4 linked regions of the Diceros bicornis minor genome follow. The protein of the gene in region 2 purifies or fractionates together with the protein of the main gene of each other region. This does not show direct contact. Links are inferred from orthologs where the notes say so. Each region holds a gene or a part of one and is shown on either strand. Other genes may lie near its edges.

Region 1 (6,946 bases), on a different chromosome or scaffold from region 2:
CTTAACGGAACTTGCTGGAAGCCCTGGGACTGGACAGGAGAGGCGGCTTTCGTTTTCACTCTCTAACAGCATAACCTGGGTCTGGCACTTGGCATCCGGGAGCCTCGTGTCCTCATCTGTGAAACGGGGGCACAGCCCACCGGGCAAGGCCGTGCTGTGAGAAGAAGCCGGGTTGAGGCAGGCGGTCCTGACACATCAGGGGCTTGGCAAGTGCTGGCCCCTTCCTGTCTGTCCCCGCGGCCACGCAGAAGCCTGGACACTTGCAGCAGGAGGGACGGAAACAGCCTCTACCCCAGGGGTGACGGCACTGAAAACAGAAGACTCCCCATTTGCCGGAGTGAGTCAGGTCATTCAAATACTCTGGCGGGCGCCACGCACCCCGCTGCCCCCACCCTTTGCAACTTTTAGCAAACTTCAAGAAAACGGAAGTGACTACCACTGGTTTTTAGCGACCGTTTGAAAACCATGACTCCGGCTGCAAACGGAAGAAGGGGAAACTGTAAATGAGAAAGGAAGCCATTAAAAAGAAAACTACCTCTCCCTGCGCCAGCTCTGCACCATCGCCTCGGGTTTCTTGCTTTGCTGTGTTGTGCTCAGGCCTCCGATACCAGCTGCCCCTCTCAGGATCCTGCCAGCCCCTGCCCCTGCCTGGGCTCAGACAGGGTCCGACTGAGGCTCCCGCAGGCCACCACCACTGTCACTGCTGCTACTGCTGCTGCCACCATCTGTCCAAACACAGCTCCGCCTGCCAGGGGGCCTGTGGGCTGATCCTTTATCTGCCACCCCTTCCTAGCCTGCCCTGTCCCTAAAGCACCCGGAAGTGAAGGTCAAGGGCGCAGAGGCCTCTGGGAGGGCCTCCGAGGCGGCCACCTGAGCTGCCCTGAGGCTCGGTAGACGCGCCAGCATTGGGAGAGGCCATCTCAGGCCTGCTGACTGCTGCCACCCTCAGCCATCACTGGCCCACAACAGCTCTAATGAGACATGGACTAGGCGAGCCCTAGGAGGGGAGGGAACCCACTACCCGCAGGCCAGCCCTCAGGCCCTTGCAGGGCAGGGTGGGTCAGAGGACAGCGAGACCACCCTCCTCTAACTTCCCCCAATCCACTGTCAGTTCTCGGCCAAATCTGGAAAGGGGGTGGGGGACTCCCGATTCCAAGAATGGGATGACGGTAATGGCGACCCCATAACCTCCGAGCAGGACCTGGTGTATGTGCCAGATGCGGAACCCAGCAAGGGAGGCAGCGGGACGCTCACTTGGGAGAAGGGGCCACTGAGGCCAAAGAGGGAGAGAGACCCAGCCAAGGCCACACAGGACCATGAGCTGGGACTTTCCCATGGCTCGGGAAAGCCTGAGGGGGTCCCCAGTGAGGGGATACCCTAGGCGCCACCCCCTCTGACCCCAGAGCACACCTCCCAGGGGAGGTGGCAGTCTGGTCCAACCCCAGGGGATGGAGTAATTAGGAAATAGGAGAGACTGGGGACAGCTGGCCAAGGACTGAGGAGGGGCCGAGAGCTCACATCAGGACCCTCTTCTGGATCGGTCACTGGTTCAAAGGAAAAAAAGGAAAAGAACAAGGCATAGATTTTGAAACAGCCCTTGGAAAACAGAGAGGAGCAGAGCAAGTGTTACAGAGTGATCCAGAGTCAGAAAGGCTGGGGGCCAACCTCGTCTCTCCAAACGTCAATCTCCGTGGCCTTCGAGCAGGGACCTAACCCACACAGCCTCAGTCTCCTCACCTGAGACACCTCACAGCTACTGTAAACCGGGGTTCAAAGGGAAAACCATGCTTGGCCCGGAAAGGAGGGCACGTCCCCACCCCCAGGGCCGAGCCTGCCTGAGAGCCGGGTGCAACAGGAAGGCTTCTCATTCTCTCCAAGGCTCCCCGGCCTCTCACCTCTTCTCCTGCTGCAACCCGCATGGCGCCCAACACTCCCGCCACACCTGACTGCTGGACGCGCCCTCGCCTCTGCCCTGGCTCAGCTGCTCCCTCTGCCTTCCCTCCAGCTCTCTGAGCCTCACTAGCTCCTCGTGGGTCCTTCAGGCTTCAGCGCAGACACCACTTCCTCCAGGAAGCCTCCCCTGACTGTGTTCAGGGCCTGCTCCACGCTTCCCTGGCTTCCGTGGTCACCCTACGACAGCACCTGACGGCTGTGTGACAGGCTCTGCCTGTTCAATCACCTGTCTCCCCCAGAAGATGCCAATTTCCCAGGACTCAGCACCAGGCCAGGCCCACAGCTAGAGGTACTTGTTGAATTAATGAAAACTGAAGTCCAGAGAGAGAAGGTGACCTGCTAAGGTCACTTGGCCAGAGATCGTGAAAAAAAGTTTTTTGGGGGGATGAGCAGGTTCTCCTCTAACAGAAACACACAAGATGACCCAACAAAAACACAAGAGTAAATCAAAACACACAACTCAGAATACACAGCTCCCCACGGATGACAACAGAGCAGATAATCCAAAAGTACAGATAATACCCAAGCGAGAGAGCAAGGCTTCTCCAGGCGGCACTAGTGACATTTGGGGCCGGGTCACCCTCTGCGGTAGGGGCCGTCCTGTGCACTGCAGGATGTGGAGCAGCATCCCTGGCCTCCACCCACCAGATGCCAGTAGCACCTCCCAGCTGTGACAACTGAAACTGTCTCCCGCCATTGCCAAAGGAACCCTGGGGGACACATGCACCCCCAGCTGAAAACGCACTGCAAGAGACCACCCCAAACCAAATAACAATCCTAGAAGCTACTGATCCTGGAGCACGTCCTGTGCCTTGCATTCTGCTACAGACTTCTGCCAACAGCGCATGGGTCCCCAGAGCCACCCTGTGCAGAGAGCAGCGATGTCGGTGCCACTTTACACCCCACTGAAGTTTCCTGACAACTCTGAACCCCGTACCACACCTGACAACACATCTTCCTTTCCAGAAACATCCTGCCTTTCTGGTTAACGGTAACATCTGCATCCTCAGCACAGACGTACAGGTGTGCAAAAGAGCAAGCAAGGAAGACCCTCACCAGAAGGTCACATTCAAGGGCCCGGACAGGCAGCCCCGGCAGGTGTCATGCCCCACTCCCTCGCGACACATCTGCACCCCAGCGCACAGACCTTCACGTATTTGCACGTGCTGTTCCTTCCACCCGGAAGGCCCTTCTTCCCACTCTCCATCTGTCAACTCCTACTCATCCTTCCTAGACAGAAAAAGCCACCCGCTGAGCCAGTCTCACCAGTCCCTCGGCTGTGGCCTCCTGTGGCGCCCTGAGTTACCTCTATCACAACACCAGTAATTGTGACTGTCCCTCTGCCTCTGTCTCCCCAGGACACGGCAGAGGCAGGTCCCCCTCCCTCACACCCAGCAGCAGGCTCCCTGCCCTGCCCTCAGCAGGCTCATCTCACAGAAGTGGGATCGAATGGCGGCTGTTCCAGAGGGCTGGCTCTCAAGGTCCCCCTCACAAGAGGCCAGAAACACAGGGTGGGGGAGCCACGGTCAAGGGAAGGGGAAGGCCCACTATCCAGTCGTCCTGACCAAGAGTGCGAGTCCCCAAGAAGCTGGGGTCTAGACAGCCGGCGACAGAGAAAGAGGGGCAAGGGGGTGTCCAAGGGGAAGGGGCTGAGGAGAAAAAGAGGAGGCTGTCTGAGAGGGAGTGGCCAGGGGAGAAAAGAGTGGGGTTGAGTCCCAAGGTGGGGAAAATGGAGGTGCGGGGGTCAAAGGGAGAAGACTGGGGAACGTTGGCTGGGTGGGTGGAGGCCTAGGGGCAGAGGCTAGGAGATTTGGGGGGCCGAGGAGCAGAGACTAAGAGACCTGGGGGGCCGAGGGGCAGAGACTAAGAGACCTGGGGGCTCGAGGAGCAGAAACTAAGAAACGTGACGGGCCGAAGGGCAGAGACTAGAAGACTTGGGGGGCCGAGGGGCAGAGACTAAGAGACCTGGGGGGCCGAGGGGCAGAGACTGAGAGACTTGGGGGGCTGAGGGGAGAGACTAGAAGACTTAGGGGCGGAGGAGGAAGAGACTGGAGGAGGGAAATGCCCAAGAAGTAATGAAGGGCCCAAAGGAGAAAGGGCTGAGCAGATTCGGGGGTACCTAAGCGGGGCGCAGGAGGGCGGGCGGAGCGGGGACTGAGGATGCCTGGACGGGCGGAGGGTCCCGGGCGGCCGGCTCACCTGCGCGGGGGGGCGGCGGCTCCTCGCACTCGGGGCTCATCGGGGCGCCCCCCCCGCCCCGCCGCCGGCGGCTCCGGCCCCTGCTCCGAGGCCCGGTATGTGGGGGCGGGGGGCCGCGGCGGAGACTCGCGCAGGCGGCCGGGCCGGGGCTCGCGCACGCGCCCTCGGGGCTAGGGGGGCCCTCGCAAGCCGAGTTCCAGGTGTCGGGGGTCGGCGCCGGCTGGGACGGGGGTGGGTCCGGGGCCGCCGGCGAGGTGGGCGCGAGCCGCGACTGGGGGCCGGAGGAGGCTAGCAGGGTCGCGAGGCCCGCGCAGGCCCTCAGCGGGGAAGTCGCCGCGGTTTTCCCGGCCCGGCCCAGCGCCCGCAGGAAAGCAAACGCCGGTCGGGGAAGACGTCGTCCTCCGCAGTCCGAACAGGCCGCAATGCTGAGCAGCGGCCGACGGAAGTCGAGGCGCACTTCCTCCACCTCCCCTTCCCCAAACCGGCGAGGTCTCCGGGCTTTCCAGTCCTCTTCAGGGCCTCCGACGCCCGTCTCCGTCCGCCACTATCCCACAATCCCCCTAGCGCAGGGGCACGCAGGAGGCCCCGCCCTCTCGCCGCCGTCTCGGTGTGCAAGCGCCCGGAGGCCGCGCGCCCGGATCCTGCAGTGCGCGTGCGCGCTGGGCACAGCCGCTCTAGACGCCGCCCAGCCAGAACATCTCCGTTGCAGATGCGCTTGCGCCAGTTTGCTCCAACCATTTCTCCCCGAATAAACCCAGACAGCTCAATGCGCAGGCGCTGCTGCACACCCGGTGGCATTTCTCTTGCGACTCCGTTCCAAAGTCCAGAGAAAATCCTGCTCCAGGATTTCTCTTCCCACTCGCTCCTTTTAGAAATCCATGCGCTCTTCTGTCTCCTCCAATCATATTCCTGCTGTGGCTCCAGGGTCGAGCTCCTGGGGAATCCATCCCGGGTTTTCTCTCCAGCCAAGGCTAAGCGCTTCTGTCTCGCCCGGTTTTCTCTCGACGCCTTCTCTGTGCTTCAAGGGGACTTCAGTCCCACCTCTAGGTTGCCCAGGCCGTGTCTTTACTGTTGCCAGTGTCCTCTAACAAAGCATCCTCTAACAACATCGACTGGAAGGATCCTCCTAGACCTTGTATCACTATGCATTAAGGTCTCATCTTTTTCTGAGCCTCACTTTCCCCAACTTGCACCAGGTTACAGGCCCACTGTAAGGATAAGTTGAGTAAATGTGTGTAAGGACTCAACTTTTACTTTTTTTTTAACCTGCAGATTTACCTTTTTCATTTCAGGGACATTTTATTGAATCATGTGTTTGAGTACATTTTCAGGTTCTGGTTGGTTGTCCTCTGTTTCAAGGAAGCCAATTATGCATTTGTCCTTCACATCTGTTAGCTTCTAATTGCTCTCATCTTTGTCATTTCCACCTGCATTCACTGGTTACCACGTCAATAATTTCATTTTTCAGCCGTGTCTCTCCTGGTCCTTGCTATTTCCAGTGTATTTGTTACATATGATGGTTTTTGGTCCTTGTGTCCGTTAGCTACTGCTTTGTGACAAACAACCACAGCCTCGGTGGCATGTATCATGTTCATGGTTTGGAATTGCAGGTGTGAAGGTCAGCAAGGCTGTTCCCACTCCTCACGTCTCTCATAATCTGGAACCAGTGGGCTCCCGAGGGCACCATCTCATAAGGGAAGGCAGAAGCACAAGAGATCAAGCCCAACTGTTAGCACATTTCAAGTCACAGGTCACCTCTCATCTGCCACCATCATTGGTAGAAGCAAGTCACATGGTCAAGCCCCAAGTCATGGGGCAGGCACCTGCACTCCACCCGCCATGGGGTGGGAAAGTGTACTTTTCTCATGAAGCTGGAATGGAAGAGAATGAATATTTGCTGAACCATCTAATTTGGCACAGTCCTCAATTTGTTTCCTTAGATTTGCCAATCTTACCTTTTCCTCTTTGAGGTCTTGTTTTAAAATGGACCTCGGTTCCTGTTGTTGTACAGCTTGAAGCAATTGTGAGGCATTTCCTTCTGTTCCTTGAGTCATCTTTTCTCCTACATCTTTTGTCTTTTACCCAGCATTTGGCTTGCTGTTTTTCCAGTCTGATTGTTGCCACACTGTTTTAACACGTATCCTCAGGAACTGGGGGGCGGGGGGCAGGGGCTGTGTGTGTGGCCATATTCAACCACCAAATGGAACCTGAGTAGCTGATGAAGTCAGTCTGCAAGAACCTGGGAAGCGGCAGGGGTTTTAAGGGCTGAAGGCTGGGTCTCCAGCCTGTCAGAACTCACAGGTAGACAATGCTGTTGTTTGTCTTAGAATTGAAGGGGCCTCTTCAAGTGTATAGTGGGAACGCTCATTCCCCCACTGTTCACATTTCCATATGGAGGAATATCTATTGCGTACTGTCTCTCTCCTGGCCTCTCCAACCCTTCCAGGGGCAGAGGAATGATTCACCGGATTGGATGGGCATCATGGCTCAGCCTTCCAGCTCTCCCTCCTCTTGGAGCCAGCCTGCCCAGTGTCTGGCCTGCTCCCTGCACCCAAGGGGACACCTTTGCTTGCCCACTGCTGCCTGCCACCAGGCGAGCAAGCACGTCTAACGCCAGGGTGAAGTAGCAGCAAGACTAAAGCCACTTTCTGTGATTGGCTCTAATAGTAATAAAGGTAATATTTGATCTCCAATTCTCGGATCCTGTAGCTACCTTTCGATTTATTCTGAATTTGGGAAGAGGGGTGAAAATAATTTGTCCCTCCAAAATCCGAAGAGTACAAGTAAATTCCAC
Region 2 (7,440 bases):
AGACAGGTATAACTTTGCAGAGCAGGTAGCCTTATATGAAAAACTCAGAGGTGGCTCAGACTAAACATAAAAGTGAGTTCCAAAAAGACGACATTAACTATTAATCCATAAGTGGTTACTATGGAATTACATAATTCCTTGTGTTGCATCTCTGAGACAGACACTAGTATTCTCCCAACCCATACCACAACTGTCTTCAGTTCTTCAGTAAAAAAACTGAACACCAACTCAGTGCGCAACTTTACTTACATTCAACCTTTAAGAACTGCCCAAGAGATCAGACAATCGCCAAATTACAGAAGCCCTCTCCTGCCAACATACTGAAGTTTAAGTATTCTGTAAACCTGTTTTCTATCATTCATTCTTCCACTTGGCCAGATATGGAATCTGTATCTTCCATGATCTGCTCTGAAATCTTTATTGTGGATGAGAATCACATGAGCTCTTTTTTAAGAAAAGAAGGTTACGCTTTGGTCTACTCTCACAAATTTCACCCTTATTCCTTCCAGTTATGTAGATTCGATCCAGTACTAGTGATCTGACCAATTCCAACTTAAATATAGAGAAATCCTGATTAGACCTAGAACATCCTACACATTTATTATTTTATTTAGTACTCGCAACTTCTTCTAGTCAATTTAAAACACAGGTGAATTTCTTTCTTCTACCAGAACAAATCTTTTCCATAATGACCATTAAGTAGCCCCAATGACTTCTTTTCCTCCTCTGATAGAATCTTTTATTTTGGCTTTAAAACCTCCAGAAAGGTGCTCCTGGAATACTTTCTTGGTCTGCCTAAATTTAGTCTGTACTTTATGCCAAGAAGTAGCAACAAAATTAAATTTCTTTAAATATACCAGAAATGAGCAGTGCAAGCAAATTAATCTGATAAAAACATTTCCAAGACAAAGAAGAAAAGCCTCTACTTATAGAGAAAAAGTCAGAATTCTTTTTTTTCCCATTTGTCCAGAAAATTAACAAAAAAAAATTTATTAAGAAACAGATACATGCTGGGCCGGCCCCGTGGCTTAGTGGTTAGGTGCGCGCGCTCCGCTGCCGGTGGTCCGGGTTCGGATCCCGGGTGCGCACCAACGCACCGCTCCTCCGGCCATGCTGAGGCCGTGTCCCACATACAGCAACTAGAAGGATGTGCAACTATGACATACAACTATCTACTGGGGCTTTGGGGGAAAAATAAATAAATAAAATCTTTAAAAAAAAAAAAGAAACAGATACATGCTAAGTACAGTCCAACTGTGTTGCAAAGGGAAATGAAATGGTTTAATAACTATATTTCCTTAAGGTGGGAAGGAAATCTAATGTTTATCAAACTAAGAAGCCTAAAGCAATAAGCAACATTTTACTCATTATAAACACAAAGCTTAAACAGCTTTACATACATGAAAGAACAGAAAATTCAACATCAATTCACTGACATGCAAAAACCAACTTCACCTACGCGATTAACAGTGCTACCAAAAAATGTCTGGTTAGTTTTCCATGAACTGGGTGCCAATGGTGGTGGTACCCTCATTTCCTAAAAAAACGTATAGCAGAAAGAAGCCACAAAACTAACGTTTGAAGGATTCAGATGAGCACGAAAGCTACATTTCTACTAATATTGGCTCTGTCTTCATTTTAACTAAATTATCCTACCAAAAAGGGGAAAATGCACAAGAATGACTCCCCTATCATACAGCACGTATAATTAACAAGTGAGTACAAGTAAGTTACATTCACAACAGCTCCTGTGGCCTTAAACATTTTGCATACTTGTTGACTGATGTTAAATATCAACTTCCTGTACCAAAAAAGACAGCAAAAAAAAAAAAAAAAAAACAGTAACATCTTCGTTAAGAGGAAGAATTCACAAAGACAAATTACTTTAAACCCACAGCCTAAACAATAAAAAGAACGCAAAACTATCAACAGTTTAGCCACTCACCACACAGCAAATCAAAGTTAACTGAACGAATAAAACAGACACTAGCACTTGGCTCAACACTGCTCGACACCTAAGCACTGGTTTTAACAAACGCAGAAAAACACTTGTCAAAAGAGCAGTAAACCAAAGACTGACATTCCTTTACTAAATTACACTCAGAAATTTACGGGGGAACAGAAAAGTATTTGTATTTATTGAGGGCCTACTACTTTATCCACTTAAGTTAGCTCAACAAGGGACTCCAAAACGGGATTCCCATCTGCATTAGCAGACGCAAACCAACACTCCTAAAGAGCAACTGGGAGAAGACGGACGGAAAGAGGAACGACTGGACGTTCTCACATCTCTACCCAACAGCTCTGGCCCACCCTCGTCCCACTCCCCAAAAACCTACACACACGGGGGCCGCGTTCCGGGAGCCGGCGGCATCTCCTGTCAGACGCCGGCCACCCGGGCTCCTGTCACCACCTCTGGGGGATGACCCCATCCCGAAGGCATTGCCCGCTGGGGCTCGGCTCAGACTCCCGGAGCCCGGGTAAGGGGTTAGGGGAGAGGAGCCTTCTAAGCAAAGCTGTTAGGGCTCGGAGCCCAGGGGCTGCCCGGAGACCAAGAGGGGCAAGGCTGGGGCACAGACCGCTGCATCCCGCGGGATCCCCGCTGAGGGAACGGGGACAGCACTCGGGGGACTCGGGCTCCCCCGCTCTCCGCGCGACGCCGAGTCGCACCGGGCGGCCTCGCCCCGCGACAGGCCCTCCACCGGGACCGGACGGGACGGGATGCCGGCGGGGGTCCCGCGGAGGGAGGAAGGGCGGGCCGGCGGGTGCCCCGCTGCCGGAAGGGGCGAGCACCGCAAGCAGCGCTCCTGCCCCGGCCAGGCTCACCTTCAGGTCGTTCTCCGGCAGGTACTTGCACAGCCGCGCGATCTCCACATACTTGTCCAAGTCTAGGGGCGCCATTTTAGAAATAACAAGCCCCGACGGAAGCAGCGTCGGCTGCTGTAGTAGCGGCGGCAGCGGCGGAGGCCGAAGCCGGAACTCTCCCTACGTCACGTCCGGCCCGTGAGAGGCGTCTGCGCAACGGCGTAAAGCTTGACCGGATTCTCCCCGCTGCCTCGGTCCGCCCCACACCTTCTCCCGCTGAACCCAGGCTGCACGCCCCTAGAGGCCGCCTCGTTCCAGACAGTGAAACCTGCTGGGACCCGTAGTTGTCTGCCGTGGGGAGTGCTGGGATTTGTAGTTTTCAGTAGTGGCCAGCTACTCCTCTTTTCCTCCCCTTTCTTTCTTGCAGACTTTCACCTCTGGGCACCCAGCGAGGCTTTTCCAACGCAAAACGGCGAAGTAGGTGACCCTAGCCATTCCCTGGTTTCTCACTCTGACCCTATTAAGCATTCTCTCACCAGAACATCTTCAGTTAAAAGTTGTGTAAGCCTGGCCATTATAACCTGTTTGCACCTTTTCAAGGTTTTGTGAAAACCTTGCATAAACCTGTGGCAGAGATGTCAGGCTACCAGTCTTCCAGCCTGGAAGGAAGGGAAACAAATATTAAAGCATTTCTTATGCTAAATGCTATACAAATGCTGGCTTTCCGTTTAATCCTCATAACGATTGATAGGAAAGCAAGGCTCAGAGAGGTTAAGTAACATTCCCTAAATCTCACAGGGAACAGGCAGGGAGCCGAGATTGGAACATAGGTCTGTCTGGTTTAAATATACTTCAGTGTGAGTCCCAGGAGGACGAGGAGATTTTGTTGTACCTCTAGCGCTTAGAACAGGACCTGGCACTTAGTATACCTTTACGTTCATTCATTCAACAGCTGTTTATTGAACACCGACTATGTGCCAAGTACAGTTGTAGGCGCTTGGGATATTCAGTAAACAAAACAGACAAAGATCCCTATCCTCAACTCGTAGCTACATTTTAGTAGAGGAGACAGAACATAAACAATAAATATAATAAATAACTGTATAGCATATTAGTGATAAGTGCAAGGGAAAAAAAAACCATCAGGGTAGGGGAGATGGGGTGATGCATTTTTAGGAACCAACAAAGAGGTGGGGGAGTTAGCCATGCAGATACTTCAGGGAAATTATAGTGAAGAGCTGATGCAGAGGCCCTAAGATAGAAGCATGTCTAGAATCTTCGGGAAATGGCAAGAAGATTAGTGTAGTTGAGCAAGGTGAGAGGAATAGGAGAGATGAAAAAAACGTTGATTTTTACTTTTAATGCAATGGGGAGTTATTGCAGGGGTTTGAGCTGAGGAGTAACATGATCTAACTCATTTTAAAAGGATCATTGTGGCTGCTGTATGAGACTGTAGGAAGCAATGGTTGCATCTGAAAGACCAGTTAGGAGACTGTTATATAATCCAATAGGAGCAGGAGGTCAATAAATATTTTTTGTGCAAGTGACCCTGGACTGGATCCTCTTGCTCTGAAGTGTATTTTGGGGACATTTGGCTAAACTTTAATGAGGTCTCTGGGTGAAGTTCTTTGTATTATTCTTGCAACTGTCTTGTAAGTATGAAATTGTTTCAAAGTAAAATTAATTTTTCAAAGTTTGTTGCAGAATGAATGATGCCCACAAGCATACATTTCTTTATTTAGTCAACAAATAGTTATATCGTACCTATGACGTGAATGAGACAGATATGATCCCTGCCTTCATGGGGCTTACAGTCTAATAGAGGAGACAAACAATAAACATATAAATGAGCAAATCATTAATTTCAAAGTGTGGTTAGTGCTAAAAAGGGAAAGAAGGGGTAGTGCAAGAAAAATGGAGTAGAAGAGGCCTACTTTAGGTTGGCAATATAGTGGAGGAAAAGTGTGCAGACTCGAGCACCAGATGGCCAGAGTTCAAGTCCAGGCTCTGTTACTCACTGTGTGACTTTGGCAGTTATTTATCCTCTCTGTGCTCCAGTTTCTCAGCTCCAATATGGAGATAATAATAGTGCCTACCTCATATGGAGATAATAATATTTACCTTATAGGCTTGTACTGAGATCTAATGGAGTTAATATTTGGAAAGGGCTTAAAACAATATCACGTAAGAGTGCGTGCAATGTGTTTGCTCTGAGTATTGGGTGGGCAGGAAAGGCCTTCCTGAAGAGGTAACATTTCAGACATTAGAGAAAAAAAAAGTCAAGGGATAATATGCTCAGAGTTTCTTGGAGAAAAATATCCAAATGAGGAAAAGATGCTATTGTTGTTTGACTTTTTTTTAATAGTCCTCTTTGGAAAGTTGGCAATTCACTTTTCATCTCTGAACCTCAGTAACTGGAAATGAATCCTACTCAAGATGCCTTCTCAGAATTGGGAGGGGGGCTGGCCAGTGGCGCAAGCAGTTAAGTGCATACGCTCCGCTGCGGCTGCCCGGGGTTCACCAGTTTGGATCCTGGGTGCGCACTGACGCACTGCTTGATAAGCCATGCTGTGGCGGCATCCCATATAAAGTGGAGGAAGATGGGCACGGATGTTAGCCCAGGGCCCTTCCTCAGCAAAAAAAAAAGAGGAGGATTGGCAGATGTTAGCACAGGGCTGATCTTCCTCACAAAAAAAAAAAAAAGAAAAAGAACTGGGAGGAAAGACAAATAGGAAGATGGATATGAATATTCTTTATAAACTGTAAAGTGCTTAAAAGGAAGGTGTCACCAGCATCGTTGCTTATTTATTTATTTATTATTTTTGTGTGTGTGTGAGGAAGATCAGCCCTGAGCTAACATCCGTGCTAATCCTCCTCTTTTTGCTGAGGAAGACCAGCTCTGAGCTAACATCTATTGCCAATCTTCCTCCTTTTTTTTTTCCCCCAAAGCCCCAGTAGATAGTTGTATGTCATAGTTGCACATGCTTCTAGTTGCTGTATGTGGGATGCGGCCTCAGCATGGCCAGAGAAGTGGTGCGTCAGTGCGCACCCGGGATCCGAACCCCGGCCACCAGTAGCAGAGCGCGCGCACTTAACTGCTAAGCCACAGGGCCGGCCCAGTATCATTGCTTCCCTTGCTGATAAGTCAGGTAGGCAATGAAAGCAGGTGGTGTCCCCTTCCAGTGAAAGGTGGCAGTCCTCACATTACCAAACTGTATGGCAGTAAGAAGCTCCCTCCTGCAGACTCACCTCATTCAGTATACCTGACTCTTGACATCCACAGCAGAGAGAAAGGAGGGACGCGTCCCTCAGAGTGCTGGGTGAGTTCTTGGGAGAGGTGATAGACACACTGGGTAGTTTGGCAAGGAGACGAGAGAGTGTACAGAGCTTGCTGACTGGAACATGTTCTAAGTCTTCCTTGCACAAAGCAGGAGATCTGGGCTCCTGGTTCTGCCATTATGTGGGTTAGTCACTTTAACTTCCCTGAGCCTCCATTTCCATTTTAAAAATAGATCTCAAAATTTCCTTCCAGCACTTTCTGAAATACGATTTGTAGTCCAAAAGCATAGGTCCCACGATGAAAACTGGTTGCCATTTTGCCCACAAACCTCTTCCAATGTTTCTTGTTTCTGTGCAACTCCAGCATGGCACTGTGAAATGGATGGAGCCGAGAGACACGGGGGCTGTCAGAGCATTCTGCAGCTCTGGGTAGAAATCTCCATCTAGATGCACATGGATGTATGGCAGAGCCCACCTGGCCTTGGTGTTCTTTCCTGAAGGAGAGCAGAATGACTGAATATTCCCTAAACTCCCCTTTGGCAGTCAATGGGGATTTTTTTCCATTAATATGGGAACTCGCAAAGACTTGAGGTGTTTGAAATAGGATATTTGAGCAGTGAGAAGAGCTGCAGACCTCGAATTCCATTATGTCAATAAATTTTTGCTATAGTTTCAGAAAGTAGCTAAAAGATTTCACCAAATTGGCCTTTCACTTGTACTATCAGATCCTCTCTACGGCTCCCTGAGGTGGGTATTACTATTCCCATTCTAGAGATGAGGAAACTAGGGCTCAGAGAGGGTAATGAACTTGCCAAATGTCAGGGTTAGTGCTGGAGCCTGGGTTTGAACAGGAGTGTGTCTGACTGCTTCCCACTCTGCTACCACAGCTCTGGACTCCAGGAGCTCCTGCGGTTTCCTTCCTTAGCGATTTCTTCTGTTTCCTAGGACACGACTGTCCCAGTCCTCCTAAGTGATCACCAGGGTCTCTGAAACATAGACATAGGTGAGCCACCTCTCCATTTTCAGGAAGCCACAGGGCCATGGTTATGATGGAGACCAGAGATAATGCATATGAACACGTCTAACTCAGGGCTGGTGTCTAGAGTTCATTTATAGCTAGGAATAGCACCACACTTTACAGAGGACCAGCTCTGCGCTGCGCACCGAACACCTTATATACATGAATTAGCTCATGTATTCCTCATCACCTTGTGACAACAATCTTATTAGCTCCATTTTACAGACAGACGCCCAGAGAAAAGTAACTTCCTCAAGAGTAGATACTCATGGATGAACTTTTTATTCCTTGCACTTTTTACAAATGTATCTGGTTATTGCTTTTTCTGTTTAATCTCT
Region 3 (7,143 bases), on a different chromosome or scaffold from region 2:
TATTTTCATGGATAGGAATAAGCAATATGATAAAGATGTCAACTTTCTCTAAACTAATCTTTAGATTCAATGCGACTCCAATAAAAATCTCAAAGTTTTTTTTTTTTTTTTTTTGTGAGCAGATCAGCTCTATGCTAACATCTGCCAGTCCTCCTTTTTTTTTTGCTCAGGAAGACTGGCCCTGGGCTAACATCCGTGTCCATCTTCCTCCACTTTATATGGGACGCCGCCACAGCATGGCTTCCTGAGCGATGCATCGGTGCGCGCCTGGGATCCGAACTGCCTAACCCGGGGCCACTGCAGCGGAGCACGCGCACTTAACGGCTTGTGCCACCGGGCTGGCCCCTCAAAGTTTTTTAATGCATGTTTTATATGTATGTTATACTCCAATAAATATGTTAATTTTTAAAAAATTAAAAAATTCTCTTTATTTAAAGACACTATGGGAGAGGGAAAAGACAAACCATATTTCTCCATCTTTGAGAAAAGATCACTTCAACACGTATAACAACAAATAATTAGTATTCAGAACATATAAAGAACACATTCAAAACAATAAAGAAAAAACCCTCAAAGAACCCAATACAAAAATGGGCAAAAGACATGAAGAGGAATTTCACAGAAGAGGAAACACAAATGAACAAAATACATATGAAAAGATGCTCAACCACATTTGTAATAGGATAATTCAAATTAAGACCATAATGAGATTTATAACTACTGGACCAGCAAAATTAAGGAATCTGATGACTCCAAATGTTGAAAAGGATATGGATCAATGGGAACTCTCATGTACTGCTGATGGGAGTGGAAACAATTTGCCATTATATTGTAAAAATGAACATCTGTGCACTCTACGACCGAACAATTCCACTCCAAGGTATACACCCTGGAGAAATTCTTGCAAATGTGCACCAGAAGGTGGATAAAAAGGATGTTCATATCGACAATTCTTCATAATAGCAAAGAATGGAAATTGCTCAAATGTCCATGAACAGAAGAATGGAATGAAAATGAATGAACTATAATTATTTGCAACACGTGGATAAAAATTAGAAACAGAATGTTGAATGACAATGTAAGTTATAGAAAATTTTGTACAATATAACATCATTGTTTTTAAACTCAGAAACAAAAAAAAAGAAATGATATATTATTAGGTAATGCATATATCTGTGTTAAAACTATAAAAAATGTAAATGAGTGGTAAAAGAAAGTTCAAGATAGTGATTATCTCTGGTGGGGAAGCAAGAGAATAAGAGAAGAGAGGAAGACGTAAACAAAGATAAATGTATTGGTGATGTTCTAGTTCTTGAGATGGGTGGTCAATTTACCAGACATTCATTTTTAAATATTATATTTAAAAGACAAAGGGAAAAAATACAACAGAGGGTATTAGCAACTCTGGCAAACTGGAGCGCACAGGCCTCCTTTAAGGACATCTGAATTTTAGAAAGTGTAAGCACCATGCTGGCCAAACAAAATAAATTTTGGAGCTAGACTTGGCTCATAGACCGTCAGTCTGCAAGCCCCAGTCGAGTTTAATGAGTCTCAGACTTTTGCTCCGTGGACTGTGGTAGAGTACTGATACGCACATATTACTGCAGGAAGAAACAAAAAACCTCCAACATATAGACAAGGAGAAATGTAAGGGGAGTGCTTAAAGATTAGGTGGAGAGAGGGGAGGAATCAGAGCAGGAAGGCATAAAAAGAGAAAAAAACACTAGGGAAAGGGGGGAAAGAAGAGAACATATAATACCAAGAAGGGGAAAGTGGAAAGTGGGGAGAAGAGACAGGTGGAAGAGAGGGAAAGGAGTATGAAGGAACAGAGGGGAAAAGAGGAAAAAGAAACTTATTTCTCGCACTCATCCTGTGTGCCAGCCTCTGTACTGGGCACTTGAACACCTATTTTCACTGAATAATCACAACTTTAAAAGACAGTTGTTATTATCCTGGCTTTCAGAGAGACGACATGAATTGTTCAGCTGGTAAATGAAGGATCTCAGAGTCAGTTTGACTCCCAAATCCTGTTCTTTCTATGATACCATATTGACATGGGGGTGAGGGAAGACATGCAGAGATGCTGATGGAGAAAAGTGAGTGAGGGGATCAGATGGGTCTTCCCCTGACAGGCTGTAACAGCCTCTTGCGCTCAGCCTGTCTCCCAAACCACAGGCACTGGAACAATGAGGCTGGGGTGGGTAACCCTGGCCAGCTAGAGGATGAGCAGGAAGGGAGGCAACATTTAGTCACCAGGCTTGAGACATTTCTGTGTACTCAGGAAGTCTTAGCTAGTAGACCCAGTGGTGTCTCGCAAAGCCCTCATATCCTCAGGTCCTTAGGTCCTGGTTTGAGAGCTCCCCCCAGTTATGTTCCCTAAGCCAGAAGGCTGGGCAATCTCTCTATCCTGTCTCATTTGATAATCTCATGATTATCTTGTTAGAGAACTATTGTCTTTCAAGGTACCAGATGCCTAGTTTCATCCCACAAATAATAAGTTCAGCTCCAAATCTGAGAAATGTGGGGGTCTACAGAAAGAAGTGGTTTTAACAACTAGGGGAATAGGGGCCTTTTAACGAAAGAGGAACAGAGATACCCACATCAACACAGAGACACAGACACAGAAAGGAAGGAACAGAGAGTCTTAGCGAAAGAGACAGAGGCAAGATACCAAGAGTGGGGAACAGAGCAGACAGACCCAGGGAAGCAGACAGAGGAGTACAGACAACAGATTCAGATTCAGTCGGATAGAGTCAGAGTGATGCCTGGGCACAGAGAAATCCAGCAGCTGGCAGAACAGAAGAGGCACAGAGTGGTGGCTGGACAGGCAAGGAGGCAGGAGAGGGGGAGGAAGGCAGTGGCCTCCATAGGGATTAGTCTGTCCATACCACGCGGGAGGACTGGCCACCTCGGTGCTGCAGTTCCAGAAAGGTGTCCAGTTCCTCTTGGCTCTGCAGTAAGGGGGCCTCCCGGGGGCCCGCGCATCCCGATGCCTGCAGTTTGCTCCTGAAACACACATTGCCACCACCGCCCTCGGTATCCAGTGGCCACTGACGGGCACCAGGGAGGAACACCGCCTCAGCCGAGCCCTGTTGCTTGCCCCCAGCCCAGCCCTTCCTGTTGGCATAGGCTCAGTTCAGACCCAAACTAGCCTCTCTTTGGGGCTGTGCTCTAGCAGAGGTGCAGAGCTAGCTACAGGCAAGAGTGACCCCTGCTGGTCAACAGGCAGTACTGCCCTCCAGAAGAAAGCCAGTGCTCCGGGAGAGGCAAATGAAGGGCAAGCTGGATTCTCACTCCTTGCCTGGTTTCTGATGACAGCCTTTGCCCCGACTCAGCTGAATAGCGTGCCCAGGGCTCCTTTCCCTCTCTACCCAAAGGGCAAGAATTGATGCCTGATAGTGAAAGATGGCACCTGCAAGACTCTGAGATACAGTTGGCATCACATAAGGGGTACCCAGGGCATCTCTGCCTTGGACCAGCTGCTCTTAGGAAGGTGCCATGAGCCCTGCAGGCAAGGTTCTCTCCTGAGTTCCCACCCAAGCCAGTTCAGGGACAAGGTGCAGGGTCCTCTCCCCTAACCCGGCCCAGCCAGCCCTGCCCAGGAGCTAGAGAAAGTTGGTCTACTCACCAGAGCTAAGGGAACTCGTCCAAGGGGACCATTGCCAAAGCAGAGAGACAGTGCCCTTCCATGGCTAGCAGGCCCTCACATGACCACTCACACTGAACTCTTCACGCTCACCCCAGGCCTTCTATTTCTGACTTCCTCTGTCTTTGGGGAAGTGGTCAGGGATTTTCCAGGAGAAGCAGAAGAGATGGGTCCCTCTTTTCCGGTCTGCCAAGCATATGCAGACCTCTGAGCAAGAGTAGCTATTCTCCCATTGCAGGGCTGTACTATGATGACCAAAACATTTTGGGTCTGCCTCAGCCTGGACCCAGCAGGTAGGCAGCAATTTGGGAAAGGGGCAGATTCAATGCTCCAAACCTGTGACCACTTCTCTCAAGAAAGAAACCTTCCAAAGTTCTCTGGGCCTCAGTTTCCTCATCTGTAAAATGAGATTGGGTCGTATGATCCCTGAATCCCTTCCAGCTCTGGCATCTCTGTATGCGTCTATGAAACCCAAGTGGAGATGGAGGCAATAAGACCAAATGTCCTGATATTCACCCCAACTCCACACCTTACCCCCTCCACTCTGACCCCCACCTGCCCTTGAGACCAGGTAGAAAGAAGGTGCTAGGACCACTAGGGAGAGCCACATTTTGAAAGGCAGGGTCCATCCTCCCCAAAGCCCTCCCATAGGCCCAGGTTCTGATTCCCTAGGGAAGAGACTAGGGACCCAAGTCTCTTCAATTCCTGTCATTCGTTTCTGACCACTTTCTCCTGAGTCTAGGACTTGAGGGAAGGAGGACAGAAAGTCCCCTGGGGATTTACCTGCTCATTGGATCCTGGAGCTCCCTGCCTGGCCCCCAACTATGTCTTTTGAAGGGGTCATAGTTGTGGCTCTGGGCACGGAAAGCCCCCGACCTTCGGAGGGGTACAGCATGGAAGCCATCTCCCTCCTTTTTTCCCTCTTCCTCCTCCTCTTCCTCCAGCTGCTCTCTGGACTCCACTGCAGACAGGCAGCGGCGAGTGTGGCCTTGGGGTACCAGGTCTCCACCTGGGACGTCTCTGTTCATGGGAGGCACACGCAGGCCAGTCTGAGTCAAGAAGACAGAGAAGGGTGAGCAGAGTTCTAGAACTCAGGAAACTTAGAACTAGAAAGATGTCACAGTCAGCAGGGCCTAGAGTATCTAGTCACCCCTCCCTTTCCTAAAGCACAGAACTGGAGAAGGCTGGCTCAGGATCACACCAAGAATTAACTGCAGAGCCAAGTCCAGAACTTGGGTTTTCTGACACCCAGTCTAGTGTTCTTTTTTGAGGCAGATTAGCCCTGAGCTAACATCTGTTGCCAATCCTCTTCTTTTTTGCTGAGGAAGATGGGCCCTGGGCTAACGTTCATGCCCATCCTCCTCTATTTTATATGGGACGCCACCGCAGCATGGCTTGATGAGCGGTGCATATGTCCGCGCCCAGGATCCGAACTTGTGTACCCCGGGCTGCTGAAGCGGAGCGGGTGAACCTAATCACTATGCCACTGGGACGGCCCCCCAGTCCAGTGTTCTTACCAGTACATAATGACATCCTCATTCACTCATTATTTTTCCATTTACTGAGCACCTAAATGGCAGAAAACCAAGCCAAGAAAAGAGAAATAGATATTGTTCCTGTCCTCAAGGAATTCACAGTCTAGTGAGTATGTGTGTGTGTGCACATGCACGTGTGTGCACATAGACAAAAGCACAAATCACAAATGACGGACTGGCCAGAGTATGCCAAATAACCAGCTGGACACTCAAAAAAGGGAGGCAGAAGGGAGTAGATAGGCTTTGAGATGGGCCTGGAGGGGTGGAGTGGTTAGGATTTGGCCAAGTTGGAGAGGGAGGAGGCTAGGCGGATAAAGCTGGAGGGAGGAAAGGTTCAGGAGTGAGAAAGTATTGTGAGTTCTTCCCTCTAAAATTCTGGTCATATGGGGAGTAAGAGAGCTATTACCACCTCTCCTCGTGCAGCACAGAGAAGGGCTCCAAATCCCAGCCACATCGCAGTTCCTTCTCTCTCTCCCAGGACTGCACTGTTGTCATTGCCCAACCCTCCCACATGCCATCAGGGCTTGCCTCAGTGTGTCTCAGAGTTAAGAACCCTCGGGTGCTCTTAAAGTTGAAATGATAAGCCCCATTCCAGAAAGAAGTACCAAATTCCAGAGGACCAAGACGGTGGAGGGGCAGGAAGGGAACTAACATTACTGCATACCTCTGTACAGCTCACTCATAGGCCCTGCCTCTCTGGACCTTCTGTTAGGATGAGTCTCCCAGGCTCCCCTTCTCCAGGGACCACTCCCAGCTACTGAGATGTTGGGAGTTCCCAGGAAGACCAGGAAGCTGTGAGCAAGAATCCTGCCTCCTCCCAGGCTTTCTGTGCTATTACCCTCCCCCCGCAGGAGCATTCACGTTGTTGGAAAGTTGCTCCTTCAATCAACTTTTCCCCTTTTCCCTCTCCCACTGCAATCTGTCCACTGCCCCTCCCCCCACTCAGGGTGGCTGAGAAGGTGCTTGAGCCTGTGTCGAGTGCATGCCTGTCCACCGCAGGGAAGGAGGGAGACAAGTGCTCAGGCCTCTGCAGACAGCATTCTGCTGCCCTGCCAGGTGGGTCTAAGGATAAAAAAGGAGAGGCCTAGGAAACCCGCCCAGGCCCTGTGCCTGTCCATGCTCATTACATCTGGAAGCAACGTAGAGGGGACCCCTCAGCCAGCCACGAGGAGAGATCTCTCTCCTGGTCTACAGACTTGGGCCTCATGCCATCTGATGTGCTGTCTGTAAATGCGATAGGCAGATCTGGAGGGAGCAGGACAGAGGCTGAGGGCCGGAGCAAGGTCCCTGCCAACCAGTGGTCTCCAAAGCTGAGATCTGGGGGGCAGGAGGGAAACAGACAAAAAAGTATTGTGAGAAGTGGCAGTGGAGGGAAGAGCATGAACTGGAGGTGCTGACTAAGAAAAGAGGAAGAGGGGCTGGGAACAGGACAGAAATTGAGGGGCACCGAAGCAGCGCTGCAAGGATCTTGGGTGCTTGGCATTCAGTGACCTCACAAAAGAGAAAAGACTGCTTGAGCTACACCCCCTGTAGCCAGCTTCTCTCTGCTATCCCTGCCCTACTTCTGCCTGCAGGGCTGATTTGGCAAGATGAATGAAATGCAGTGAATTGAAGCCCTTTCCTTTCCCTCCGTTCCTAGAGACGCCATCTGCTGGAGATGGTACCCTGCTACCCTGGCCCAGTGGATAGACCTTCTGATCCTGAGATCTTTATGTCCTGAGATCTCACCCTTCTTCCTCCAGCTCAGACCAACTGGAATCTGACCTCAAAGATCTACCCTTTTTCCAGCATCTCTGTCATTTCATTCACAGTCTCTGCCCTCTGTGAAAATGGAGTCCACTGGGCTCCTTCTCCCTCAGATCTTCATTCCATTTCTCAGAAAGTTTTTCCTGTTTTCTAAACTCCACCCCTCCATGCTATTATGTCAATTTTTATTCTATCCTTTAAAGAGATGAGGTTTAG
Region 4 (7,199 bases), on a different chromosome or scaffold from region 2:
GCTGTCCCCTCAGCCTGGAAGGCTCTGACCCCTCATTCTTCTCATAGCTAGCTGCTTCTTGCCCTCCAGAGCTCAGCTAACATGAGAGTTAGAAGAACCAAAAGGGAAGAGAAATCAGAAAGGAAGGGACATGGAGAAGAGGTGAAAGGCTGAGAGTGTCAGTGATGGTCCAGGCACTAAAAGGCCAAGGGCGTGGCAGGGAGAAGCCATGGGGGAAGTGACTGGCAAGGTGAGAGTAACAGGCTAGAGAAGGCCACAAGGACAAGGCAGGTGGGTACAGTGACAAAATGGGGGAGGGGGGGCGGTGAGAGGCAGGAACTAAGCGCAAGTGACAGACTGGGTGAGCTGGTGGTGAGAGGACAGGGGATCTGTGGCAAATGGTAGTGGTCAGTAACAAGTGGGTGGACAAGGCAGGTAGGCTGCAAGGACACAAAGGTGGCAGGTGGGGGTGTGCGGAAGACGTCACAGCGACAGGTGGGGGGCATTCAAAGGGGCCAAGAAGGTGCACGGGGGAAGGTGACAGAATGGGGATAGGAACAGCAGTCAGTGAGTGGACAAGGGAGTGATGGCAGGAGGCCCTGCGGAGGGAGTGTCCTACACCCCACCGGCAGGAGCCGGCAGCACTGACGGGTGGGACAGAGCACTGACGGGTGGGTCAGAGCACTGACGGGTGGGTCAGAGCACTGACGGGCAGGGCCCCTAACAGACAGGGGTGAGGGAGGAGGCAGCGAGGAGGGGGATGGTGACACTGACAGGCTAGGGAGGACTGATGGGGGACCTCGACGGGCAAGGGGGGGGAACCGATGGGTGGACAGACAGGGTGGACAACGACATGGGGACCTGGCAGCACAGGGGGGAGGAGGGACATTAACAGGGAGGGCACTGAGAGTGAGGGTTACTGACAGAGAGGAGGGAGGACTGGACAGGGAGGAGGGGCACTGACACATGTGACACTGATAGGAAGGACGGCACTTAGGGGGTCACTAATGTGGGAAACACTTGACTGGGAGGAGGTGGGGGAGGGGGTGGACACTACCTTGGGGGACACGGGGGCAGCACTAACACGTGGGACACGGATGGGGTGGACATTGATGGGGCGGACACTGCCTTGGGGGGACAGGGGGGCAGCACTAACACGTGGGACACTGAGGAGGAGGGCACTGATGGGGCGGACGCTGATGGGGGGGCACTGAGGGGGCGGACACTAACGGGGAGGGTACTGAGGGGGTGGACACGGACAGGGGGCCACTGACGGGGCGGACACTGACGGAGGCACACTGACGGGGCGGACACTGACAGGGGGGCACTGACGGGGCAGACACTGACAAGGGGGCACTGAGGGGGTGGACACGGACGAGGGGGCACTGACGGGGCGGACAATGACGGGGGGACACAGACGGGGCGGACACTGACGGGGAGGGTACTGAGGGGGTGGACACGGACGAGAGGGCACTGACGAGGTGGACACTGATGGGGGGACAATGACGGGGCGGAGACTGACGGGGGGGCACTGACGGGGCAGACACTGACAAGGGGGCACTGAGGGGGTGGACACGGACGAGGGGGCACTGACGGGGCGGACAATGACGGGGGGACACAGATGGGGCGGACACAGACGGGGCGGACACTGACGGGGAGGGTACTGAGGGGGTGGACACGGACGAGAGGGCACTGACAGGGTGGACACTGATGGGGGGACAATGACGGGGCGGACACTGACGGGGGGGCACTGACGGGGCAGACACTGACGGGGGGCACTGATGGGGCGGACACTGACAGGGGGCACTGACGGGGTGGACACAGACGGGTGGGCGCTGAGGGGGTGGACAGGGATGGGGGGGCGCTGACGGCATGGACACTAACGGGGGGCGCTGACGGGGCAGAGCGCTGATGGGGTGGACACGGACGGGGGGGCGCTGACAAGGCGGAGCGGTGACGGGGTGGACACTGACGGGGGGGCGCTGATGGCATGGACACTGACAGGGGATGGACACTGAGGGGAAGGGGGCACTGACAGGGTGGGCACTGATGGGGTGGACACTGGTGGGGGGTGGACACAGAGGGGGTGTGGACACTGGTGAGGGGTGGACACAGAGTGGGGGTGGACACTGGTGAGGGGTGGACATTGGTGGGGGTGGACACTGAGTGGGGTGGACACTGGTGGGGGGTGGACACAGAGGGAGATGGGCACTGGTGGGGGTGGATGCTGGTGGGGGGGGTGGGCACTGAGGGAGTGGGCACTGAAGGGGTGGGCACTGAGGGGGGTGGACACTGAGGAAGGGTGGACACTGAGGGGGCGGGCACTGACGGGTGGGGGCACTGACAGAGGGCAGACACTGAGCAGGGGTGGACACTGGTGGCTGGTGGACACTGAGGGTGCTGGGCACTGGTGGGGGCAGACACCGGTGGGGGTGGACACTGGTGGGGGTGGACACTGATAAGGGGCGGACACTCGTGGGTGGTGGGCACTGACGGGGGAGTGGACACTGGTGGGGGTGGACACTCGTGGGGGTTGGACACTGAGGGGCAGTGGGCACGGGGAGTGGACGCTGGGGGGGGCAGACACTCGTGGGGGTGGACACTGATGGGGAAGTGGACACTGGTGGGGGGTGGACACTCGTGGGGGTTGGACACTGAGGGGGAGTGGGCACTGGGGAGGTGGACACTGAGGGGGAGTGGGCACTGCGGGGGGTGGACACTGGTGGGGGGCGGATACTGAGTTGGGGCGGACTCTGGTGGGGGGCGGACACTAAGGGGGTGGGCACTGAGGGGGGCACTGACGGAGGGGTGGGCTCTGGGGTGCACACTCCGGGGGCACCGACAGGCGCGGGCACGGTTTGAGGAGCCGCGGCGGGCGGCCTCACTCACCTGCCCCGCGGGCCCGGCGACGCGGCGGCTCCTCGGAGGCCCCGGTGGGGGCCAGGGCGCTGGCGGAGGCGAAGCCCGGGCGGCCTGGGGCGCCCCGCACGCACATGGGCCCGGCCGGGCGCGGCGCCCACGGACACGGCGCGGGCCGGCCGGCAGCTCGAGATCAGCTAGGGCCGCGGGCGGCGCTCGGGTCTCTCCAAAATGGCGGCGGCGGCCGGGCGCACGCGCGTGGGGGGCGGGGCATCGCGGGGGCGCGCTCGTTCGCGGGGGGCGCGGGGGCGCGCGCTCACGTGGACGCGCCCGGCGGCGGGAGCGCGAGGGCGTGGGCCGCCGGAGGGCGGAGTGGGGCGCGGTGTGGTTTTGTCCCTCTCCTTTTCCGTCTGAGGTGTTGCTGAGTTTCTACACAAGCGTAATTAACTTTCTGTAGGATGATGCGTTTGCAGTAGTAAAGTTTCCAATGCTACGTCAGTCACAGAACGGCCCCTCCAGAGACCCGAAAGGATTTGAGGATGCCACACCGGGGCAGGGGTCTCCCGGTTCTCTGGGGCCTTCCTCTCCGCCTGAAGACCCTCCCCCTGGCGCAGCTGGGTGTCTCCGAAGCTACTTGGGCTCGCGGCGTGGACACGGTGGGCAAGAGTGAACAGTGGTCAGCCCCCGTGTGCCAAGCGGAGGTCCCCCTCCACTCCTGCTTCCTAACTGGCCTGGGGGCGCCTGAGCAGCAGCCCCCAGACTTGTGTTTTCCAGGTGCCCCGCAGGTTCTTGCAGTGTTTTGCACATTAAAATATGTGCCCATTTAACATTTGTTGGAATTGTTTAATTCAATCAAACTAATCTCTAAAATGAGAATTATTTCAGGTGTCAGCGTGAACCGTGGGAAAATGTTGGAAAGAGAAGTCGAGCACTTAAGAAATACCTAATACTTGTGCTAGGTAGCAACTTGTTGCCTCTCAGCTGCCGGTGCACCGCGGCGCTCTGCGAAAACGGGTCTGGGCTCGCCTGTGCTCAACTGTGTCGGTAGGGGGCGCAGGAGAGGCGTCGCGGGAGGAAGGGTGTGTTCCGGGCCTCGCTCTGCAGTTTGCCCGTCTTCCTTCCCTGCATCCAGCTCCTGCAGCTTCCCCAGCTCTCCCTTGGGCAGCTTTATAGCAGAATGTCTCTGGTGAGGCATCTCTCCCTAAACACCTTTCCCTGGTATGCTGCAAGGCAGATTTCTGGCAAGTTCTATAGTGTGAACTTCCAGGAAGTGGTGGTAAAAAAGCATCAGCCTTAAACCGAGAAGAGGAATGTCCTGCAAGCCCTGCAATCGAAGGCCCCTCCCCACAGAAGCTGGGGGTGCCGTGGTTGAGCTGCAGAATGGGGGCTCAGGGCCAGGGGTCCTGTGCGGGAGATGTTCCCACTGGTTGTGCCGCTGTGTGAGCGCCTGCAACCCTCTGCCTGATCTTGATGCTCTTCCTGTGCTCCGGCCAGAGTGCCTGGGGTCAGCTGGGGCCCCACTCCTCCTCTCATCCCCCACACTGGATTCATCAGCAAGTCCCTCCACTTCTAAATATAGCCAGCTCTCCACCACCGCGCCCTGATCCAAGACCAGTTTCTCTCACCTGACACAACAGCAGCCTCCCAACGGGGCTCCCTGCTTCTACCCTGGCTACTTGCTGTAGGCCAGCTTGCTGTAACCAGCATAGCACCCAGAGGGATCCAGTGGAAAAAAGTTGGATCACATCCCTCCCCCAGGGCTCCCGTCTCACACAGCGCAAAGCCAAAGTCCTTGCTACTACTTACAAGGTCCCATGTGATCTGATCTCATTTCCCCTCCTCTGTCCCTTGTTTGTTGGCTCCAGTCATGATAACCTTGTCACAAGCCACTTGCCCATGCTGTCCCTGCGTCTGTCATGCTCTTCCTCTAGTTATGGCCGCACTTACTGACCTGCCTCCTGAATCTTACTCCACTGCCCCCTTCTCAGTGAGAGCTTCCTGGCCTCCCTATTTCAAATCTGAAGCCTACATTCATGCATGCACACACACACGTGTGCATGCACATGTGCAAACATGCATGCACACATGCAAACTTCATAGTCCCCTTCCCTGCTTGGTTTTTCCTTGTTGTATCAATAATCATGGTCCAATAAGGGGATAGAAACCACACAATGTCTTCAACAGAGGAATTTTCATATAGAAATTATTGAGAACAAGGGATTAATTGTAAAGGAGTAAAGAGAACTCTAGATTCAAGAAAGGACAAAAGTTGGAAGGTGGTCCCCTCCCCAAGGTGGGAGTTCATTCTGTGTTGGAGAGTTGTGTGGCTGCAGCCCAGCGGTCGACATAGACATTCTCTGGGGTGTCCCAGGACACAGCTGATCCATAGTCCCTGAGCAGAGACTAATGGGCAGGAATACACCCCTCCAAGGTGCATGCTGGCTAAGCCTGGAAAACTTCCTGCTGAAGTGTCTGCAAGACTCACTGGGAATCCACCCATGGGGGTGCTGCTGAAACTCAGTGAGAAACCATCCAGAGAGGTGGCACCGCTGCATGTCTTCCACATGTGACTCTGACAGCTGTGCAGTAGGAACAAGAAGAGAAAGGATGCACATCGAAACCAGAAGTCCCTTCTTCCAGCAGTGACCCTCCGGCACTCTGTACTGGCAAAGCTTAACATTGTGCCAACTGCAAAAGAGAAATGCTTACAGGATCCAGCTCCATTATCACAGTGCAGGTAAAGAGAAGTGGATTTGGATCTGAGGCAATCAGTGGAAAACAGGCAGAGTTTGACTCTCTGGGTAGTCAGCTTCTGTACGCATCCTTTCAAACATATTTGAACTTCCATACTATAAGAAAACAATGCTATATTTTCACCTAACACGATACATCCATCCTTATTGCAAGTGAAGAAATTCTCACTCTTTCCCCAAAGGCAGCATATTCACAGTCCCATCAGTCATTGAATCTATCATTGGCTACATTAATTACCCCTCAAATTCTGTCACTGTTCCACTGAATATTCTCTTATGCTCTTATGTTAAAACTAAATAGGAAAGTTAACCTCTGACAACTTGTATATTTAAAAAAAATGGAAAGCAGAGAGAAGAAAATGGTGCATATATACAAATAAACACACACTATAACATGCAAAGAGAAAATGCGCAAAACTGCTACAACCTATGTTTCTGTAATTGGTCACAAGATGTAGTTGATACATGTGGCTTTTTAACAGATTTCTCTTCTAAACTCTCTTCTAGTGTACACAGAACAGTTAGAACAAGCTGAATTCAGTATTTCTGACACAGAAGGACTAAGTAAAATAAATTCTATCACTAAGAACCCCAAATGCAAAATTATTGACCAATAAATTGGAAAAAGTGAAACTGTGATGTAAAATGAGTGCTGCCTCTGGAGTGCCGTCAGAGCAGGAGGAACTGTGGCTCTGTCCTGGTCTTCTCAAGAACCCCACAGTGCAGCAAGACACAGGACAGGGCATCCAAAGACCACCACTCTGTGAACCCAAGTAGGACAAACACAGAGAAATCCACACCCATAGACACCATAACCACAGCGCAGCGTGTCAGAGACAGAAAGAAAACCACAAAAGTAGCAGGAGAAAAATGACCCATCACATAAAGGGGACAATGGTACAATTAATAGCTGACGTCTCATCAAGACAATGGAGTCCATAAGGCAGTAAAATGGCTGAAGGAAAAATAAAACCTGTCAATGAAAACTTCTACACCCAGCAATACTATCCTTCAAAAATGAAGGTGAGATAAAAATATTCCCAGATAAACAAAACAGAAGATTCATTGCCAGCAGATCTGCCTTGCCACAAATACTAAAGAGATTTCTTCAAGCTGAAATGAAATCACATCAGATGTTCACTCAAATCAACAGGAATGAATGAAGAACCATATTCAGCAACATGTAAAAAGGATCATCTATTGAGACCAATGGGGTTTATCCCAGGAATGCAAAGTTTTTTTAGCATCCAAAACAGAATTAATGTAATACACTATATTAATAGAGTAGAGGATAAAAACCACTGGATTTGTCTGATAGTTGCAGAAAAGGCATGTGGCTAAATTTAATACCTATTTATGATAAGTACTCTCAATAAAGTAGGAAAAGATGGGAAATTCCTCAATTTCATAAAAGATATCTAGGAAAAATCTATACTAACATTGAACTTAATGGTGAAAGATTTAATGCTTTTCCACAAAGATGTGAACGAGGCAAGGATGTCTGCTTTCACCATTTCAATTCTACATTGTAGAATTCCACATGTAAGGAGCTTGGGCATCACCACTCCATCCTAAGAACTAAAATGCTGAACAGATTGAAAAATCAGC

The links.
Region 1: the proteins of PPP6C (region 2) and PPP6R1 purify together in Homo sapiens (affinity purification with mass spectrometry; 11 studies listed by BioGRID and IntAct, with this or other methods). This does not show direct contact. The link is inferred for Diceros bicornis minor from reciprocal best matches to the Homo sapiens genes PPP6C and PPP6R1.
Region 3: the proteins of PPP6C (region 2) and ARHGEF2 purify together in Homo sapiens (affinity purification with mass spectrometry; 4 studies listed by BioGRID and IntAct, with this or other methods). This does not show direct contact. The link is inferred for Diceros bicornis minor from reciprocal best matches to the Homo sapiens genes PPP6C and ARHGEF2.
Region 4: the proteins of PPP6C (region 2) and PPP6R2 purify together in Homo sapiens (affinity purification with mass spectrometry; 9 studies listed by BioGRID and IntAct, counting the BioPlex papers as one, with this or other methods). This does not show direct contact. The link is inferred for Diceros bicornis minor from reciprocal best matches to the Homo sapiens genes PPP6C and PPP6R2.

What each region holds. Positions count from the first base shown.
Region 1 is NC_080773.1:33,275,783-33,282,728, forward strand, and holds the start of PPP6R1 (serine/threonine-protein phosphatase 6 regulatory subunit 1), read right to left. Parts: upstream 3,012-6,946; 5' UTR 1,920-3,011; coding exon 1,896-1,919; intron 1,321-1,895; exon of another isoform or gene 536-1,320; intron 1-535. UniProt on the Homo sapiens protein: Regulatory subunit of protein phosphatase 6 (PP6). May function as a scaffolding PP6 subunit. Involved in the PP6-mediated dephosphorylation of NFKBIE opposing its degradation in response to TNF-alpha.
Region 2 is NC_080767.1:33,595,932-33,603,371, forward strand, and holds the start of PPP6C (serine/threonine-protein phosphatase 6 catalytic subunit), read right to left. Parts: upstream 3,020-7,440; 5' UTR 2,902-3,019; coding exon 2,827-2,901; intron 1-2,826.
Region 3 is NC_080743.1:59,647,504-59,654,646, forward strand, and holds the start of ARHGEF2 (rho guanine nucleotide exchange factor 2), read right to left. Parts: upstream 3,013-7,143; 5' UTR 2,889-3,012; intron 1-2,888. UniProt on the Homo sapiens protein: Activates Rho-GTPases by promoting the exchange of GDP for GTP.
Region 4 is NC_080764.1:452,134-459,332, forward strand, and holds the start of PPP6R2 (serine/threonine-protein phosphatase 6 regulatory subunit 2), read right to left. Parts: upstream 3,004-7,199; 5' UTR 2,869-3,003; intron 1-2,868. UniProt on the Homo sapiens protein: Regulatory subunit of protein phosphatase 6 (PP6). May function as a scaffolding PP6 subunit. Involved in the PP6-mediated dephosphorylation of NFKBIE opposing its degradation in response to TNF-alpha.